Rhinolophus ferrumequinum: one gene and its partner. The protein of the gene in region 1 binds, or shares a complex with, the protein of each later gene. Links are inferred from orthologs where the notes say so. Each region holds a gene or a part of one and is shown in the gene's direction. Other genes may lie near its edges.

Region 1 (10,170 bases):
TTAATCATCTTAGATAAACTATTTCCCCATGGAACTTTGGGAGCTTTCTACAATGACAATATCTTTCTTTGGGTCTTGTAATATTAAAATAACAATTCTCATTCTTAGCTTTGCCTGAAAATACAAATTATTGCAAATTCTGCTTTTCTTTTCTCCTTCCTGCCAGCTTGTCTTTCTTTTCTTTTTTACTCCTACAGGGAGTTCCATTGTCTTATAAATAGGTTCTCTTTGCTTTCTGTATTTTGGTCTTTTATCAAATATTTAGAAATTACATGTCTTCATACATGTACTTCCCTCAGTCCTCTACCTGTTCATTCCATTTCAACAGGCAAAGTTCCTTCCCAAGCAAAAATGAATCCAGAAATAGAAATGTGAAGATTTACAGTCTGTTGAGTTGTATAGGTAGCTAATAAGGTTAGAGTCCATACATCTTATTAAAGATTGCCCTTGGATTTAGAGCTTCTCCACTATTACTTCTTTATCACCCCAGGGATACCTTGTATTCCACATGCACAGTAATTTATCATATTGCAGTAAAATTATCTTTCTATGTGTTCACCTCTGCTAAGAGACTGTGGGCTCATTGAAGTGAGGGACTGTGTCTTGTTAATCTTTTATATCCTTATCGCTTAGTAAATGCTTGGCATTTAGTGGGCAGTCAATAAGCTTTGAGCATGAATGAAAGACTAGGTGGTGCTACTTAAAATAAGTATGAAACCTGGATTGTGCCCTGTCAGCAAGAACATTGGTGTTCTTAAATAAATAGAGGGGTTGTTGATGCCAGAACAGTGTTTGCTTTAGATCCTATCATTCTTGATGTGTATTTTTGGCCAATTTTCCAACAGAAAGAAATTTGCATTTGTCAATAACATTCATTTGCCTTCAAGACATTAAATACTGAGAGGCTAATTTATATAATTTTAATGAATGAATAAATATCTAGTGTAAATATAAAATTAAGATTGATTTGAAATAGTAGTTGTATGTATTTCATCTAGTAATTTAAGCTATTGGTGTTAAATATACTGAATATCCCACAACTGTGAATCAGAAACATTTTGTAAAGCGAGTACCATTGTCAGCATCATATGTTACTGAAGTTACGTCTTTATGCTGTTTGAGTGCGTATTTTAGTTGCAACACATTATTATTAAATGAACTATTTTTGCAAACAAAACTTTCAAACTTGTAAATATTATTCAAATAGAAGAATTTCATTTTTTCCAATGTCTATGCAATGAAAAACTAATTGAAAAATTCAGTGCTTATATATGCAATATTAATATTTAAAAATCATTTTGAAAACATTTACATTATATACTTTATTATCATTTTGCTAGAAATGAATTTCTTTCAAATAAAAAAGAATACAGGTCAATTATTTATTTGTTACATTTCTTGAAGTTACAGTTATTTTGGATGAAATAATTAATTTCTTGATGTTAGCCCATACATAGATGCTTGAAAAACTGATGAGAATTTCAAGACTTAAATTGCAAGACTCAGTTGGGTGTCAGGCTGGAAATTTTTAGCTGAAGACTGGCACTAAGAGATTACAAAACATCTAATAAAATCTAAGCGTTAGAAGACATCAAGGAGAAAAATAATTTATCTTCTAATAAAAATTTTCTAACCTTGATCCATTGAAGTTTTACACAGGAATATTTTAGCTACACAACCTTTATTATTTTACAAAATTTAAAAAAAACCATTCAATTTTGTAAATTTAAATTCACCTCCTCTAGTAGTAAGTCTGTTGAATTACATTTGGAAAAATACAGAATATGAACAGACTAAGAATTATTAAACTCTCAGCAGCATATTCATTTCTGTTTGATTTCCATTTGTAGCTATTATTATGAGAGAGGAGTTAGTAACGTTAATTTCAACTTATTTGTTTATGGATATAACAACAGCTATTTGTTGTTAACATATGAAGAATGGATACACATGAATTTTATGCATTAGTTGCATTTTTCTTGGATTGGAAAACTGATAAAGATATGCTACAGTGTCATTTTATTTATATAGTTTAGATGTGTTTAAACGACCTTTTTATTTTTTAAAAAATGTTAACCTGAACTATTAAGTTGGTGCAAAGTAATTGCGGTTTTTGCAATTATTTTTAACCTTTTAAATCGTAATTACTTTTGCACCAACCTAATAGGTAGTGAGTAATGTCTGAGGAGCTGTTGGGTAGCTCAGCAATGACGAAATTCTCAAATTTGGATTCCAGTTTCCTAACTTGATACAGGTTTCCCCCACTATCTGAAAGTATGCTATGCCCATGAAATCTTTTGTAAGCCAAGCTGGTGTAAAGTGAAGAAGCAATTACCATTAATTTATGTGTAAAAAATTTGAATGTTTTCAGACCCCAAATTCAACAGGCAAGATGTCTTTTCTTTGTTCACCACAATTGAAACATCCAGCTTGATTACATCCAGTTTTCTGCCATAACACCCTTACGAGCTCTCTTAGATTTTTCTGATACCTTGGGACAGAGCTTGCTAATGGATACACAAAATAAATCAAGGTACAGCACACGTGCTCACAGACACAGTTCAAAGCGATGGCAGCTTGATGCTGAGATGCTGAGCGTGGTTCCTGGGGAAGGAGCTGGCGGGGCCACTCTCCCCACTCAGGGTGCCTGTTGCCTATATAATGGCTCGCTGTACAACGAATGCTGAACGCTATTTTCACTTTTGACCTTTTTTTTTCATAAAAGCAAAAGTCATCTTCAGATTTCTTTCAGTTATCAAAAACAGGTACCAATGTAGGTCTTTTGCGAAAGCGAAGTGGCGTAATGCAAACTTTTGAAAAGTGGGGGATACCTATATATTCATTCTACCAGCCAGACCCTATTCTCATTCTATAGGACTGTTATGTTGGGAATATGGAATTATAGAATGTTCAAGGTAAAAGGTCCTTAAAAATAATTTAACCCAACTTGACCTATATGGCAAGGAGATATATATACAGACCGCAGGTTTGAGTTTGGAGCTAGAAATTGACAATGAGCTGAATTAAACTGCATAGTAAAGAGTTGAGAAATTTGAAGTAAATGGTTTGGATATCTGAGAAGAAGTAGATGAAAATTCCAGAGGTCCAGTGTAACATGAAGAAAGGAAGAAAAAGGGACCCTCCTGCCATGGGAGATTTGGAGAGAGGGACTTAAGAGATAGGACAAGCCGAAGATGGTGATTTAGTGTGTTTTTATAATGTAAACTTCTTCTTCTGTCCCTTATGAAATCCTCAGCAATTCTATATTTATCACTAATGCAAGTGGGTATTTTGGAGGGATGACTTATGGAAGGAAATGAGAGGACAATTGATATTTGGATTACATTACTATTTCTTTATTTGCATTGGAAATGCCTGTGTAAGTTCATACATTTTGGACAATTTGTTTTCTTATTGTTTTAAAGGGAACTGTATCTTCACAAGTAAATAAAAAAATTAAATTGCTCACCATGTTTCAATTGGTTAGTTTGATGCTTAGCAGTCTTTCATTTTTCTACCCTTCTGTATTTTGTAGAAAAAAGTCCATGCCCTTCATGACAGGTAGGATCTGCATATGTCCACAGCATTGTAGGAAGAATGCTAAAAAAGGATTTTCCTGTCCTTAATTTTCTTTCCAAAGGATTCCAAATTTCTCGAGTTTTGGAATGACTTTGCCTTCAGTGGTTATCACTGGAAAGTCTCTGTTACAATACTGTGGATGTTATTAGACACAGGTATCTCATTGTTAAGCATATATTTCACTTTATTTCTAAGAGAAGGTGACTCAGAAGTCATAATCTATCACAGAAGGAGACGGCATGAAGGCTGGATCAAGTTGATGACCAAATGGAGAAAAACCTGCTTTGAATGATTTGGTGAGAAGCTTCCGGAATCCAGAGGGCAGAGGAGGGTGTAGTTTTAAGGTTATGATTAGGGTGGTAAGGAAGTGGGAGACTGGTCCAAAGAGATATTTCATCTGCTTCAAAATGATGCCTTTTCTACTGTCCAAATGAATGCAAAGCAAAGGACAAAAGGGATAAAACTCAGGTTTAATTCCCTGTTATATTTATATCTCAATTAGGTATTTTTTCTCTTCTAAATGATCAGCACACTACTATTCTTTCCATATGAAATAATTTTCTTAACTACTCTCTTTTTAAACTTCTCCCATAAAATGAAAATACATTTAAAAAATCACTGGAGCTAGTTTACTATTTACTTAAAAAACTAGATTCTGTAAGCCATATTTATAACTCTTGATTTAAAATGTATGCATTTACTCTCAAGCCAGAGTACTTTGGTGACTAATTAAACATAAGAGTTTAAAAATTTGAGGAACAGAATATTCAGAAAAAAACAACAATTATGTGGTTTTATTTCTCTCAATACACAGTGTGCATACAGAATTAGTAGAAGAAAAATGTGGGAATTCTTACTTTGGGAATCCACAAAATGCAAATGTTAAAGGGTTGCTTATTAAGATGGGTTTTAAGCACCCAGGTAGTGTTAAGAATTAAATATTAATTTCTCAACCATCTACTAATCTTTAATAAGGATATACACATGGAAAACACCTTATTGGTACTATGAGGAAAAGTTCAGGTGTTTCAGTTTTTATAATTGAAAGCTATGGGATGGGATCTTCTTGAAATATAGGAAAATCAATTCTCAGTTTTTAAAATCCTGATGAACTTGATTTTTTTTGGTTTTCTATATTTACCATTGTATTACAACATTATATTGCAGTGAAAAGTAGATGGAGAAACGAATATTATTCTTTTCATTTGTTACATGAAGAATATGCACAAAGTATATGTATATGTACATGACAAGGCCTAATTCTGTGAACTAGTAATACAATTACATTCAATTATAAGGATAACGTGTTTGATCAAGTCTTCCCTGGAGACTCATATAGAGGAGAGCCTAGGGTTAGACACTGACCAGACACAAGGTGCCCACTCTTTCTCTGAAGCTAAAAGAAAAGTTGACGTAATTTACCCAAAAGGGAATTATTTTCTCTGTTTAGAAAGTTAGAATGGTTTCCTTTTTGCTTTTGTAATTTAAGATTTTAGGCTTTAAAAAAATGTTTTTTTCCAATGGAAATAATTTCATAGGCAGATCTTCTTTTATTTCTGTTCATATGTGGCCTGAAGGACAAGTCTGGTTCCATTACTCATGACAAAAGGATGTATACTTGGAATTAGTAATCTATACAGTTCAGAGTTTAGCTCTCTTAGTATGTCTGATTTTCAAGCTAAGTCGTTGGTTTGCCTAATTTTTGGAAATACTGAACACTAAATTGTTCATATGGTAAATCACAGATAAAGAACATGGTAATGAATAATACGTACAGATTGTTTAAACTCTTAGGTAAAATTTGATAAGACGTTTTACATAACTTTAATGAATTGACAAGGTCTTGTGGGGAAAACAGTTCCAGATGGCAAACATACGCAAGGGATTTAGTCAAACAATATTTTGGCAAGAACATTATGAATTTTGTAATCACTTAGGAGCCAATGAAATACAAAGATTAGTCTAGTTAATAATCTACAATTATTGGTTAAAGAAGTATATTAGCACTAATTTCGCTCTATTCATCTTACCTTTTCCCTTTTTTCAAACCCACAAGCCTTTGGCACAATGAAGTGGGTAACCTTTATTTCCCTTGTCTTTTTTATCAGCTCTGCTCATTCCAGGGGTGTGTTTCGTCGAGATGCACGTAAGAATTCTATTTTTCTAATATTTAAATTTATTTTATTTTCCTAGTAAAAGAACATTTTAGTAAACTCTGTATCTTTAAAGAAGTTTCTCTTTAGCATTTATTTCTAGACTATGATGGTATTTTGTATTTGTGAACCCACAGGAATTTATCTTATTAATATATTTCTAACATCCTAAATGAAAAAAAGATGGTGAGAATTGTTTAGTAGCTATAATTTCCTTTTGCATATGAAGGAACTTAGAGTGACTTAAACTTCACAGAATGTAGTTGATGATATAATTGATAACTTCAAATTCCCAAAGCCCTATCCCAAAACACCTTGATGGGTATATAAAAACAACAAAACCTGTGTTATTAATCTTGTAAAGGGAACTTGTATTATATTCTTCCGTTCAGACTGTCTTCTCCGTAGCTGTTAATAGACACTAAGAGCATTAGATCTTATCAAAAAATGAATATACAGCTATAAATATGTAATGATTTAAATGATTTTTCAAATAGTATCATTGGTGATTGAATAGCTTCTGTTTAAAAGAAGCTATAGTTCACTGTCATCCTAATATTTTCTGTAGAGATCAGAGCTCAATATTTTAGAGCAAATGAATACTTAAGTCAAATGGAGAGACATATAAGAAGTAGTATCCTAATCAGTTGTTTTCATCAGGTTTTAAATAAATATTGTTTTTTCCCCAGCCAAGAGTGAGATTGCTCATCGGTTTAAGGATTTGACAGAAGAACATTTCAAAGGCCTGTAAGTTAAAATATTGAAGTCAAATTTAATGTTTCTAATAGCATTGGTTATTATTTTTAAATTCTTATAATCTCCTGTCATCAGAATCCAGACTCTAGAGTAGAAATTTCTGCACTGGAGAAAATATTCTATATCAGTGTTGTCCAATATGGTAGCCACTGGCCTCATGTTGTTGAGTATTTTAAATATGGCAAGTGCAATTGAGGTACAAAAATTTAAATTGTATTTAATTTTAATTTATTCAACTTTATATAGTCACATGTGGCTACTGAATACTATGCATTGGAAGATATAACTCTGGCACTTTTATTGAACCTGGATGATGGGAAAGACTTTAATATGTGGTCCCTTTTGCATCATACTTAGTTAAATTTATTTACCTAGCAAACAGATCTGTGGCTTCTTGAGAGCATTTCAGTATTTTTTAATCTATTAAAAAATGAGAAAACAATTTATTTTTTAAAGGTCATGTCATTCTATAGGCTGATTAAACGAGGTGTGTTGGGTTTTTTTTTTGGTTGTTGTTTTTTAATTTGTTTTACATAGTCAAAAGGCCTATGCAATGCCCCTTGTCTTAATGATTAGATCTGTTTAGAATACATTTTGCTTGTTAGCTATATATGTGTGCATCTACTCACGTGTAGACACATGTTTAAACATGGTGGAAATACATAACCTCTTTGCTTAGAAAGCCTCAGATGATAGCTGATGTGACTAGGCTTTCTGGATAATAGTACGATGTATAAAATATAAAACATATGCTTTTAGTCTAATATAGCAACATACTTTATATTCAAATTTTATTATACTGCATTTTACTATGTCCTTTGTTGCAGGGTGCTCATAGCCTTCTCTCAGTATCTCCAGCAGTGCCCATTTGAAGATCATGTAAAATTAGCAAATGAAATAACTGAGTTTGCAAAAACATGTGTTGCTGATGAGTCAGCTGCAAATTGTGACAAGTCCCTTGTAAGTAGTCTGATGTTGAATATTAGTTCTTCTTTTAAGTAAGCCTGAGCATTTCAAAGGGAAAACAGTCCCATTTTAGTTTTCTCAATTATTACTAAATGACCATATTTGTAAGCAACAGTCAAAAGTAGGTAGAGCCATCGTTTTTTCTGTGATAGAGACATGCTAGCTATACCCACCGTTTTAAAAACAATTCTTTCTGGAGACCACACCCAGTGGTTATCATGTATTTAAATGGAAAGCTTTTAATTTGTTAAAGTCTCTTTTAAAAATCTGAAGTTTGATTTCTCTTCATAGAGGCTAATAGTGATAGCATGTTTTTTAATCTTCAGAAAGTACTTAACTGATTTCTGCATTCATTTTGTTACCTGGGTAAAAATTATAGTATAGCTATGTATTCCTTGTTTCAGGGATATTCATATTTTTACATACAATAAAATATTGAGGTATTCATTTATTTTAAAAAATTTTGAGCTTTTGGTATTTCCAAATAGGTCTTCAATACAAAGAAAGGTTAATGTTTTCTCTTACCATTCAATCTATATATACTTTTCTGGGGGCAAGTCCATTTTTCAATTATCACTTAAGTCTTTCCTTCTCTTATTTCTCTCTCTCTCTCTCTCTCTCTCTCTCTCTCTCTCTCTCTCTCTCTCTCGATATATATATATATATATATATATATATATACACACATATACATACATATACATATATATATATATATATATATATATATATATATATATCAAGCCAGAATCAATACTTTAATTCCACACAATATAATGTCTCTAAATATGAATTTTTAAAAATGTATTTTTGAGAATTAATTCTCTCTTGAGCAGTGTATTTTCCCTGGAATTACAATTACTTTCATAATAAAAATTAATGGTGATGTAAATAATTCATTTAATGGAATGTGCTTCAAGGCAAATTCTTTATTATAATACAATAACAATTAATATATAGTATGTTGTGTTACTCCTCAGTTTTTGAATGGTATCTGCTAAAACATTGCACATCTCACAAAGAAGCAGATCAAATGAGAAGCTATCTGAATACTTTCCTCCCTAATGTGAATTCAGCTGCTACTTAGAGAATTATTTTTGCTTGATTTTTAAATTATGATTGCTCTCCTAGTCTTTAGCCTCAGGTGGAAGTTAGAATAACATTTATTCCTTATCTTTTTTGCCCTTCTGTTTTATCCACTGTAATTAATAGTGTGACAGTTAATTCTTAAAAAATTACACATAGATGGTCAAATCAAGGGACACTCTCTAAACCTGTGAAAAAAGTAGATTTTTATATGGTTTCCTAACCAAGGTTTACCAGAATATTGCATTTTTAATACTATTCTTTGGGTATAAAAAATAATATACTGCCTAGAAATTTGAAGCCTTCTGTCTTCCATTTAGCATACTCTCTTTGGAGATAAACTGTGTACAGTTGCATCTCTTCGTGCCACCTATGGTGACATGGCTGACTGCTGTGAAAAACAAGAACCTGAGAGAAACGAATGCTTCCTGAAACACAAAGATGATAACCCAAATCTCCCTGCACTGGTGAGACCAGAGCCTGATGTTTTGTGCACTGCCTTTCAGGAAAATACACAGAAGTTTTTGGGACAGTAAGTAATCAGATTTTTATGCTTCAAAATTAAAAATTATGAAATAGTTCAAGACTCACTGTAACAAAATATTTTCGACATTAAGATTTAGAAGCTTTTGTTCTAATGACAGTTTTAAAGAAGTAATATTTGATACTATAAAATTTTACATGATAAAAATTTGATCAAAGATCTTTCATTGAAACCAGATATGATCTGTAGGAAAAAAATTGAAATTGACACGTATTATAATATTATGAAGATATATGCTTAGTTATTCTCAGAATTAATTTCATTTTAGTCAATAACCTTATATCACCAATACTTAACTATTTTATGTGTGTATGTATATATAATTTATATATATGTTTAACTTTTTCATTGACTTGAAGAATGATAAAGGCAAGATCATCATGTGTAAATGGAGCTTAATTGGTAAATGAGATGTCTTTGGGTTTGGGGGAAAATATTGATTACAATTGTTCCTGTAATACTATTTGCTATAGGAATATTAACTCCCTGTTCTTCTTTTTTAAAATGTAGGTACTTATATGAAGTTGCCAGAAGAAATCCTTACTTTTATGCCCCAGAACTCCTTTACTATGCTCAAAAATATAAAGACGTTTTAACAGAATGCTGCCAAGCTGCTGATAAAGCTGCCTGCCTGGGACCAAAGGTATGCCCAGAAGTATAGAACCAGCTCAGCCTCAAACCTCAGATGTGGGGCATCTTATGGCTAGATTTAGGGAACCAAAGTCTCTGATATAAACTTCTTTACCTGGTCAAAAAAGACTTCCTCACTCTTATCCATCCCAAAGATCTTTCACCCTCATTGAAGGCCCATCACATCTTCAATCGTTCTTTTTAAGTTTTGTCAAAGTGCATTGAAAGAGGGAATCACTGTGCATGTGTCTAAATATCCCTCCTCTTTTTATGGTGCTGGTCACTATAGTGAAACTCATTTGTAAAATTGTGCAGCAGAGGGCCACGGTTTTTGTTTATCTTTTCATGAGGGTTTCTTATTGGGAAGGGAATTCAAAGTGAAGAATTTCATTGCATCCGGAATCCTGGATTTATTAATCCATTCCATAAATATTTATTATATACTGCATTATCTTT
Region 2 (11,063 bases), on another chromosome or scaffold:
GAGAGCCTACTAGTATCTAGAGTGACCTGGAGGACGTTAACAGCAGCCTGGGATGAGCGGGAAGCATCTAGAGGAATAAGTGCTACTTCTGTGCCCTACTATATGCCTTGTGCAAACCTGAACTCGATAAAGCTTCTCTGTTGAGGTAGGCACAATTATCCCCACTTCACAAAGAAACCAAGGTTCAGAGAATCCTACCTAGAAAAGGTAGGATTTGGTTTTGAAATTAGGTGTGGTTGCCTCCCGGGGTGCGTAGGGGGCGCTACAGCGTAGGTGCAGAGGGGAGGAGTGGATGTTAAGGTCGCAATTCAGGAAGCATTACTCAGAGCTGACTGAGGCCATTTATGGTGCACGGACCCCAGGGGCCAAGGTGCCTTCGTGGGCGAGCTCCCTCTGCAGGCTGAGCCATTGCTCGAAAGGGACCTGTGTTTGGTTTAATACTCTGCTTGAACCATGTTGAAACTGGAACAAGGGGCCCTACATTTTCCTTTGGCATTGCACCCAAAGGATTAGTAACTGGTCCTGCCACCAGGCAAGGGAGGGCATCCTCTGTGACTGTGATAGGCTAGATAATGGTCTCCCAAAGATGTCTATGCCCTATTCCCCCAAAACCTGTGAATATATGATTTTATAATATATGATAAAAGGGACTTTGCAGATGTGATTAATTTCAGGATCTTGAGATGGGAAGATGATCCTGGATTACCCAGGTGGGATAAATGTTATTATAAGGGTCCTTATAAGAGGGATACAAAAGGATCAGAGTCAGAGGTAGAAGGACAGACACAGGGGTCAAAGAGGAGAGAAGATGCTAGTTTTGAAGATGGAGGAAGGGTCCATAAGCCAGGGAATGCAGGTAGCCCCAAGCAGCTTGAAAAGACCAGGAAATGAATTCTCCCCGGAAGCCTCCAGCAGAAAGCAGCCCTATGGACTTCCGGTCTCCAGAGCTGAACAATAATCCATTTGTGTTGTTTTAAACCACTAAGTTTATGGTAATTGGTTACAGGAGCCATAGGACACTAATAAAATGATCCAGGGCCCTGCAGATGGCTGCTGAAGCGGGATCCCAGGATGCCTGGGTGAAAGCCTGCGGGAATTTTCCCAGAACCCCCTGTAGGACACTGATGTTTCCGGGGACACGGAATAGCAGGCCCCTGGACTCTTAACAGGAACCTAAAGACTTCATGGTAGAGCTAAGAGGCATTATACTAGGGTTCTGGCAGGACCCAGACGGATTTAGAGGGGACACCCTGAGGCCGTTTTAATTACATGAAGTAGGACTGCACCCATTTCAGCAGGATCCAGGGGACCTTCTGAGTGCTCAGTGGGGGAATATTGTAGGGTCTGGGGACATATTTTATCAGGAATCAAAGAACTCAGTGGGCTGTAGAGTGCTGAGAGGTGTTGAAGTGACAGCCGATGGAACATTGTAGCAGGACCAAGGACACCTAGAAGAGATATCCAGAGATGGGTAAAGCAGGACCTGAAGAACAGTTGAGAAAAACATAAGCATTACAGTAGGACCTGGGGCCTTAGAAGACGTGGGGCCACTGGAAAAGGCCCAGGGGCAGTGCACCAGCGTCCTGGGAGGAGTATGGGGACAGGAATCCAAGGACTTGTCATCAGAGCTCTCGTGGCATTATTTTAAGGTCCTAGGCAATAGAGAAGAATCCTAGGGGTGTGTTTTAACCATTAGAGGAGGACCCAGGGAATCGAAAGGGGACACACAGAGCCATGGGGTGGGATCTCAGGGCCATTTCTTTAGTAAGGTCTCAGGTCCCTTACGGTGGGGACCTCTGGGATGAGGGAGCAGCAATCTAGCTGGTCAAGGGGGCATGATAGCAAGTTCCTTGGAAATGTGGAAGGTTTCTTACAGGCTAGGAGAGATTTTATAGCAGGTCCTGGAGGGTCTAATTGTTTCTTTCTTTCTTTCTTTTTTTTTTTTTAAGATTTTATTGGGGAAGGGGAACAGGACTTTATTGGGGGAACAGTGTGTACTTCCAGGCCTGTTTTTCCAAGTCAAGTTGTTGTCCTTTCAATCTTAGTTGTGGAGGGTGCCGTTCAGCTTCAAGTTGTCCTTTCAGTCTTAGTTGTGTCGGGCGCAGCTCAGCTCCAGGTCCAGTTGCCATTTTTTTCTAGTTGCAGGGGGCGCAGCCCACAATCCCTTGTGGGCGTTGAACCGGCAACCTTGTGGTTGAGAGGATGCGCTCCAACCAACTGAGCCATCCGGGAGCTCAGTGGCAGCTCAGCTCAAGGAGCCGTGTTCAATCTTAGTTGCAGGGGGCGGAGCCCACCATCCCTTGAGGGAGTCGAGGAATTGAACTGGCAACCTTGTGGTTGAGAGCCCACTGGCCCATGTGGGAATCGAACCGGCAGCCTTCGGAGTTAGGAGCATGGGGCTCTAACCACCTGAGCCACCGGGCTGGCCCTAATTGTTTCTTTCTTTTTCTTTTTTTTCTATTGAGTTTTCTCTCTGTATATCTATGTGTTTGTCTGTCTGCCTACCTACCTACCTACCTACCTCCCTCCCTCCCTCCCTACCTACATATCTCTTTGTGTCTGTGTAGTGCAGGGGATCCTGCCGACTTCGCCATGTGTCATGCAGGGTGTCATGCGGGGTCTCTGGTCCCACTCCCCACATAAGAATGCAGGACATAGTGAGGCCAAAAAGGAACACCCACGGAGCCATAGGTAGGGGAGTCACACCACTATACTCTCCCTGGCGGCTGGGTTGGAGACACAGGAAACAGGAGCCACACAATTCTCAACCCTCACTGCTCCATTGCAGGCTCAGCCACCATCTTCTTGCTAGCCCCCATTCTCTGCTAGCCTAGCCACGGCAGTTATATTAGTGGCCAATGGCTCACTGGTTACAGCTGACAGCCAACTAGCCACAGCTGATGGCCATTTGATCACAGTCAACGGCCATTTACTACCTGAGCCAGCACCTTTCTATGTGAGGCCGAGAGCCTGGAAACTGCTTTTTGGGGCTCTGTCCCCACAGTCTGTTTATACATGTTTCATAGGACAGGGCAGGACAATAATAGAGAGAACCCAGGTGGGGTTTGGGGAGTCCCACTCAGCTTTACAATGGAAACTGAAGGAATTAAAACAGGTTTGGTGGCAGGAGCAGGGGCCTGGGGCTTAGGGCCTTCTGTGGCCATTCTGTGAGGTCTCAGGACTCATTTATCAGGATCCCAGAGAGGGGGTGGCCCACTCTGCGGGACATTAGTGGAGGCTCCTAAAGACGTTATCGCCGTGTCTCAGGATACTCACAGGGACCCAAGGAGCATGGGGGTGGGGTTCTGAGATTATCAGAGACCCAGGGACAGGGTGGGGCCTCTGGCAAAAGTCCCGGAGGACTCAGGGGCACTGGAGTTCAACTGAGTTAATACAACAGTCATGAGGGGTGCAATGGGGCCCTAGGGTGATGGTTTTCAAGCTTCAAGGAAAAGTATAGCAGAGTCCTGGGGCCCTGTCACAGGACATTGGGTACTTTATATCAGGGTCCAAGGAACATCATAGTAGGGTCCTGAGGGCCTTTAAAATGAGAGCCCAGGGGCTGCTGGAATAGTGTCTCAGAGACAGCTGAATCCCAAGGGACACAGAAGGGACAGCTGGGCATGGCAGGCTCTTCAGTGTATTTTAGGAAAGAGCTAACGGTGCTGTAATAGGGCTCACAGGATATGAAAGTATGATCCTTCAGTGTCATTATACGCAGCCCCTTCGGGTGGGTCTATGAATAACCTAGCAGAACCCAGAGAGAATAATGAAAATCAACAGAGGTTCTTCAATAAGGCGAACACAAACACCATCGGTAGTGGTTCATTTCATGTGTCAACTTGGCTGGGCTGTAGTGCACAGCTGTTTGGTCCAACATTACTCTAGATGTTTCTGTGAGGGCGTTTTTGGATGACATTTACACTGAAATCAGTGGGCTTTGAGTAAAGGAAGCTGGCCTCCATAATGTGAGTAGGCCACATCTAAACAGCTGACAACATAAATGGAAGAAAAAACAGACCTCTCCCAAACAGGAAAGAATTCTGCCAGCAAATACCTTTGAACTTCATCTGCTAGATCAGCTCTTCCTGGTTCTTCCTGCTTTTGGACTTGAGCTGCAGCTCCTTCCTGAATCCCCAGCTTGGTCTCCACCCCTATTAGATTTTCAACTCAGCACAATCATGTGAGCCAATTCTTTGAAGTAAGTGTCTTTCTATGTATGTATATAAACATCCTGTTGGTTCTGTTTCTCCAGAGAACCCTGACTAACACATCATATGACCTCGTAATTCCATTCCCGGGTATATACCCAAAAGAATTAAAAACAGTTGTTTAAAAAAACCCCAAAAACATACATAATGCTCATAGCAGCATTATTTATAATATCCAAAAAGTAGAAACAACCCAAAACGTCCATCAATGGATGAATGGATAAAGAAAAGGTGATAGATCCAAACAATGGAATATTATTCAGCCATAAAAAGGAATGAAGTGGTGATCCATGCTACAACATGGTTAAATCGTCAAAACAATACGCTAAGTGAAAGAAGACAGACACAAAAGGCCACAATATTGTATGACCCCATTTATATGAAATATGCAGAATAGGTAAATCCATAGAGACGGTGGTTGCCAGGGGCTAGGAGGAGGAGGGGCTGCTTGATGAGTACGGGGTTTCTTTTGGGGTGATGAAGAAGTTCTGGAACTAAAATGCACTAAATATCATTAAATGGTAAATCTTATGTTTTGTGCATTTTAAAATAAAACAAATGAATGGAAGCAGTGTAGCAGGAGTGTGAGCTGGGGGCGGGTGACTGGAGGGGGCCTCTAAGCCTGATAGTCGTACATTGGTGTGCCTTGGTATCTGTGGGGGAATTAGTTCCAGGACCCCCCTGCAGATACCAATATATGTTACTACACTCTTGTAAAAGTGTAGTAACATATATTGGAACTCTGTGCTGTGGAGGTCCTATCAGAAGACATTAAAGAACCACAAGGGCTCATTACCAAAAGGTTTGTGGGCAATACTATACTTGAGGTCACTGTAGAAAAGACATCCTAGGGAATGAGAGTGGCAAGGCTTCAGAAATAGGCTGATTTGGAGCGGGCCTGGCGGCTCAGGTGGTTAGAGCGCTGTGCTCCTAATGCTGAGGTCGCCAGTTCGATTCCCACATGGGCCAGTAAGCTGCGCCCTCTACAGCTAAGATTGTGAACAACAGCTCTCCCTGGAAGCTGGGCTCCTGTGTGCTGCTGCCCTGGGCCACATGTGCTGCTATGAGCCACTGGTGGCGAGTGTGAGTGGCCCGCAGGCTGTGAAGGCCGACTGATGACCGGCAACCGACTGCCTCAGCCTAGGGTGGGGAGGGGAAGCGCACATAATACCAGCATGGGCCAGGAAGCTGTGTCCTGCACAACTAGACTGAGAAACAAGGGCTTGAACCCAAGTGGGGATAGGGGGAGGCGGAAAAAGGGGGAAAAAAAATAGGCTGATTCGGATTCGTGGTATAAAACTTCAGTATAACGGTAGTTTGCCAAGTTTACTTCAGTTCACAATGTAAGGTATTTCAAATAAATTCTTGTTCATTTTGCATGGAAAATTGATACTAGGACTAGTCTACAGTTCTTTGCAGTTTTTGCTTTCGTGAAGAAATTATAAGCTAGGCACAGCGTTTGTGTTCTGGTTTGAAGCAACTTTAGAACCACAGGAAGTGTCTTTTTGGAGATGGGTGACTTCAGTTTGTTAATATTTCTGCCTTTTTGGTATTTGAGCAGATTTCATGTGTTGTCTCCTCCTCTGCTTTATTTTACTTATTTATTTCTACCATACAAAGCTTTATTTCTATTGCTTATATCATAATAGTTGTATAAAAGCTTTTGTTTTGCATTCATCACATCATTTGTTAGAAGAGGAATCTTTGTCCATTTTGCTTTGCACCAGTAGCCTGTTGTGCCCATTCAGTATTTGGTGCATAATTGGACCTTAAATTAAAAAATGTAAATAAAGTTTTTCATCTATAATGCTTTTATACAAAGCTTTTACTTTACAAAAAAAAAATATTTTGTTTAAAAAAAAAAAAGGGGAACTGCAAGGGCACTTTAAGGCGACACTTGGGGGAGGGGTTCCAAGAAGGAAACACAGGATCTAGAGACCTTTCTTTGTAGCAGGAGCTAGTGAAGGCCTTGTGGAGGGTAAATGAGGTAAGAAGGGGAACCCACAGTGACCTCCGAATTTTGCACTCTGATAGTGCTGGTTTCTATTCCCAACTTTGTCACGAATTCGCTGGCTGGCTGATACCCTCAAAATGAAAACAACAACAGAGAAAGAGACCCAAAAAAATCGACGAAAGTTTTCAAGAGAGCAGCAGAGACATATTCAGAGAGTCTGGGCCCAGGGCCCAGGGTGTGCCCTGCAGCTGGGGGGCGGAGTTGTATATTCCCAGTGCCGGGGAACAATCTCCGGACAGGATGTGAGAGAGGAACTGGGGTCTCCAGTCACGGGAGCCAGCTGGGGCTGCAGGCGGGAAGGGATCGCGGCTGCTGTGAGCAGAGCTGGGGCCCGGGCCCCGAGGGAGGACGGGCTGGGGTCCGGGCTCCTGGGGCCAAGGGACGAGGGACTGGGGCCCGGACTCTCGAGTCTGAGGGAGGAGGGGCTGGGGGCCCGGACTCCTGGGTCTGGAGGAGGAGGGGCTGGGGCTGGGACTCCTGGGTCCCAGACAGGAGGAGGAGGAGGAGGAGGAGGAGGAGGAGGAGGAGGAGGAGGAGGAGGAGAAGGAGGCGGGGATGAGCTCCGAGAATGAAATTTCAGCCTATCCAGGCTCTGTAATTAATTAACCAACATGGATCAAATTAAGGGGTGAAAGTTCATTGAGGCGTAGGGCATTGTTGTCACTCTCCTGGAAGGAGCCCCGAACCCACACCCACAGGCGTCGGCGTGGTGGCGGAGCCCAGCGGAGCTGGGGGAGGAAGGCGTGGGCCGGGGGTCCGGAGGAGTCACGCGCCTCCTCCCGCCCCAGGTCTCCCTCTCAGGATGCGGGTCCCCCGACCAGTGCCCTGGGGGCTTTGTCTCCTGCTGTTCCTCCTGCCCGGGACGCTTCGCGCAGGTGAGAGGTGCTCAGTCGGGGCTGCTGGGGTGGAGGGAGGTGCCCCCCGCCGGGAAGGAGAGGACGAAGCGAAATCTGCGGTTTCCGTCGAGCCAACATTTTCCCCTTCCCTGTATTTCATTTGGTTTATGATTTTCTCCTTCTTCGCTCAGTGTGTCTGGGAAGCACCTGTCCCCCTGTCTCCAGATCCCTGTCCCCCTCTCTCTGAGTCTTTGTGCCCCCATAGCTGAATCTGCCCACTTTCTCAGAGTCTGTCCCCTCTGTCCGGGGTCGAGTCCTTCCTCTCTCCCGGTGTCTCTCTTGCTCCCTGTCTAGATACCTCCGGCCCCATCTGCTGCATTCACCTCTGTCTCTCTCCAGCAGACAGCCATCGCTCCCTCTTGTACCACTTCACCTCCGTGTCCTTTCCTGCCCCGGGGACCCCTGCCTTCTGGGTATCAGGTTGGCTGGGTCCACAGCAGTACCTGAGCTACAATAACCTGCGGGCCCAGGCTGAGCCGTACGGGGCTTGGGTCTGGGAAAACCAGGTGTCCTGGTATTGGGAGAAAGAGACGACGGACCTGCGGAACAAGCAGAAGCTTTTCCTGGAAGCTCTCACGGTCTTGGAGGAAGGAGGCAAGACTTGGATTCCTGGGTCTGAGGGCTGAGGACCTGGGGGCTGGACTCCTGGGTCTGACAGACAAGGGGGTGGGCCCCTGCTCCTGGGCCATGCTCACCTGTGTGTCGGTACCCCAGGTTCCTACACCCTGCAGGGCCTGCTGGGCTGTGAGTTGGGGCCTGACAATGCCTCTGTGCCTGTGGCCAAGTTTGCCCTGAATGGCGAGGAGTTCATGAAGTTCGACCCCAAGGTGGGCACCTGGATTGGAGACTGGCCTGAGGCCAAGAGCATCAGTGACAAGTGGACGCAGCAGGCGGAGGTGGTCAACAAGGAGAAGACCTTCCTGCTGTACTCCTGCCCCCAGCGCCTGCTGGGCCATCTGGAGAGAGGCCGTGGAAACCTGGAGTGGAAGGGTGAGCAACCTCCCGAAGAATCTCAGACCCCGGTGGATCTCTCCGTTCCCCATGGCCCCACCTTAGGCCTCGTCCTCTTCCCCAGCCTCCTCCCTGGCCTCCTGACTTCCAATCTCCCCTCTGCAGCTTATCCCCCACACGTCCCAGGGGGTCTTTCTACCCCCAGAGCTGACCCTGCCCCTCTCCTGCACACAGCCCTCCCATGGCTTCAAGAGCCCTCAGAACACAGCTCAAGCCCCTCACCCTGGCATCGAGGCGCCGTGTGGCATGGCCTCTGTCCCTCTCCTCAGCCTCACATTTCTCCATCTGCCCCACTCAGTCAAAAGGAATCACCTAGAGTTCCTTGAGCTCATGCCAACCCTCCCATTTCTTCCCTTCTGCCATTCTCCTTCCAGTTCCCGTGGTGTCACAGCCAGGGAGATTTCTCTGGCCCATAAGGCTTTCACTTGCCTCTTGGGGCTCCCACAATGCCTTGTGTGACCTCTGTTACAGCACATGTCATTCTGATCTATAATGATGTGGATGTTTGGGGAATTCTCAAGGGCTGGAATTACCATGTTTCCCCAAAAATGAGACCTAGCCAGACAATCAGCTCTAATGCGTCTTTTGGAGCAAAAATTAATATAAGACCTAGTATTATACTATATTACATTATATTACATTACATTATATTACATTACATTATATTATATTGTAAGACCCGGTCTTATATTATAGCAAAATAAGACCAGGTCTTATATTAATTTCTGCTCCAAAAGACACATTAGAGCTGATCGTCCGGCTAGGTCTCATTTTCGGGGAAACACGGTAGAGCTCTTTTGTCCTCAGTGTCCCCCCCTACCTTGCAATCCCAGCTTCCATCTCTGCCCCCAATGCAGACCATGTTTTGAAATGTAAACGAGCTCCCATCCCGCCATTTCTTAAAACAATCCAAATAGCTTCCCACTAGTCTTGGACTAAAACCCAAACTCTACTCTGTGGCCCACAAGCCCTGCGTGGTCTGGCTGCTTTCCGCCACTGTAATTTCACAACATCCCTGCTCCGGTGACCTTCTCCCGGTCCTCCAACATGTCTGATTCTTTCCCTCCTCAGGACCTTTGCACATGCTGTTCCCTGTGCTTGTGATTGTCTTCCTTGGGATCCTGCCATGACTGGGTTCTTCTCATGCCTTTAGGTTGGATCCTGGATGGGGGCTCTTCAGCAGGGCCCTCCCTGACCACCCTGACTAACGTGTGCCCCCATGCCACTGCCATTATTGTCTCTCATGCCCCTGTTTTGTCTGTTCAATCATTACAGTATCTCTAATTTAAAAGTTTTTCTTATTGAGGTGTAACTTACCTACCTAAAGTACATAGCTCGATTAATTTTTATATGTGCTCATGTACTTGCCCTCCAGATCAAGATCTAGAACATTTCCATCACCCCAGAAGATTTCCTTGTGTCCCCTCCCATTGCATACCCCCCCAAGGGTAACAACTAACCTAACTTCTATTACCATAGTGTTGCCTGATTTTGAACTTCATACAGTTATGAGCATGTGCTTGTTTGTGTCTCGCTTCTTTCATTCAAGCTCGTGTCATGAGACTATTGTTCCATCCGTCTGTCAGCAGTTTATTCCTTTTACTGCTGAGTAGTATTTCATTGCCTGGTTCATACCACAGTTTTTCAGTGAATGGTTTATTTTCACTGAAAAGATTGGGGCTATTATGGGTAAAGCTGCTATGAACATTCTTTTACATGTCTTTTGATGAATCTGTATTTTCATTTATTTTGACTAAACACCCATAAGTGGAATTGTTGTGTCATAGTGTAGGCATAAGATTAGCTTTAGTAGGTGGTATTAAACATTTTCTCAAAGTGGTTGGACCAGTTTTATACTCTCACCAGCCATGTACATAAATTCCATTGGTTCACAGGCTTGCCAGAATTTGATGCTGTCTGTCTTTAATTTTAACCATTCTCGTGGGTTACGTGTAGTGGTATCATATTGTGATTTCACTTTTCATTTATCTGATGATAAATGAAAATCCGATAAATGATTTGATAAAATCAGATACATGATTTAATGACTTGCTATGTTGAGTACTTTTTCACGTTATTGGCCAGTTGGATGTCTCCTCTTTTGGAGTAGCTTTTTGATTCCTTTATCCATTTATTTATTTATTTCAACATTTTTTATTGGTTTCAGGTATACGAAACAACATAATGATTAGGCATTTACACCCCTCAGAAAGTGATAATCCCACCAAGTCTACTACCATTCTGACCTTGTATATAGCTATTACAATACCACTGTCTATATTTCTATGCTGTATTTTATATCCCATGACTATATCCTTTACCCATTTTTAAATCAGAATTTTTGTCTTTTTTTTATTAGAGTTTTTCGTGTGTTCTGGATATGAGTCCTTTGGATATGTCAGATGGTTCTATTGGAAATAACTTCTCCCAGTCTGCAGCTTTTCACTTTCTTAATGAAAACTTGCTGAACAAAAGTTCTCAATTTTGATGAAGATCAATTTATCAATCCTTTATCTTATAGCTCTTGTTTTTCTTTTTTTTTTTTTTTAATTGGAGAACAGTGTGTACTTCCAGGCTTTTTTCCAAGTCAAGTTGTTGTCCTTTCAATCTTAGTTGTGGAGGGCACAGCTCAGCTCCAGGTCCAGTTGCCGTTGTTAGTTGCAGGGGGCACAGCCCACCATGCCTTGTGGGAGTCGAGGAATCGAACTGGCAACCTTGTGGTGGAGAGCCCACTGGCCCATGTGGGAATCGAACCGGCAGCCTCCGGCATTAGGAGCATGGAGCTCTAACCGCCTGAGCCACGGGCCAGCCCCTATTCTATAGCTCTTTTGTGTGTTCTCTTTCAGAAATCTTCCCTCTCCCAAAGTATGAAGGTATTCTCTTATGTCTTCTTCTAGAAGCTTGATTGATAAATAGTTTTCATGTTTAGCT

Evidence for each region.
Region 2: the proteins of ALB (region 1) and FCGRT are in contact, whole or in part, in a crystal structure (PDB 6QIO), measured with the Homo sapiens proteins. The link is inferred for Rhinolophus ferrumequinum from reciprocal best matches to the Homo sapiens genes ALB and FCGRT. Residues at the interface, in NP_000468.1 of Homo sapiens: Arg105, Glu106, Thr107, Tyr108, Gly109, Glu110, Asp113, Asn133, Asn135, Gln441, Ser443, Pro445, Thr446, Glu449, Leu484, Leu487, His488, Thr491, Pro492, Val493, Tyr521, Val522, Pro523, Lys524, Thr530, Phe531, Thr532, Phe533, His534, Asp536; in NP_001129491.1 of Homo sapiens: Arg65, Glu67, Glu69, Gly72, Ala73, Val75, Trp76, Gln79, Val80, Ser81, Trp82, Trp84, Glu85, Lys86, Thr89, Arg92, Asn172, Lys173, Leu175, Thr176, Leu179, Phe180, His184, Glu188, Arg192, Gly195, Asn196, Trp199, Lys200, Glu201.

The regions. Positions count from the first base shown.
Region 1 is NC_046288.1:30,504,300-30,514,469, forward strand, and holds the start of ALB (albumin), read left to right. Parts: upstream 1-5,597; 5' UTR 5,598-5,646; coding exon 5,647-5,725; intron 5,726-6,421; coding exon 6,422-6,479; intron 6,480-7,315; coding exon 7,316-7,448; intron 7,449-8,860; coding exon 8,861-9,072; intron 9,073-9,594; coding exon 9,595-9,727; intron 9,728-10,170. UniProt on the Homo sapiens protein: Binds water, Ca(2+), Na(+), K(+), fatty acids, hormones, bilirubin and drugs. Its main function is the regulation of the colloidal osmotic pressure of blood. Major zinc transporter in plasma, typically binds about 80% of all plasma zinc.
Region 2 is NC_046298.1:44,648,611-44,659,673, forward strand, and holds the start of FCGRT (IgG receptor FcRn large subunit p51), read left to right. Parts: upstream 1-6,135; 5' UTR 6,136-6,198; intron 6,199-6,390; exon of another isoform or gene 6,391-6,539; intron 6,540-7,013; 5' UTR 7,014-7,027; coding exon 7,028-7,100; intron 7,101-7,460; coding exon 7,461-7,715; intron 7,716-7,835; coding exon 7,836-8,111; intron 8,112-11,063. UniProt on the Homo sapiens protein: Cell surface receptor that transfers passive humoral immunity from the mother to the newborn. Binds to the Fc region of monomeric immunoglobulin gamma and mediates its selective uptake from milk.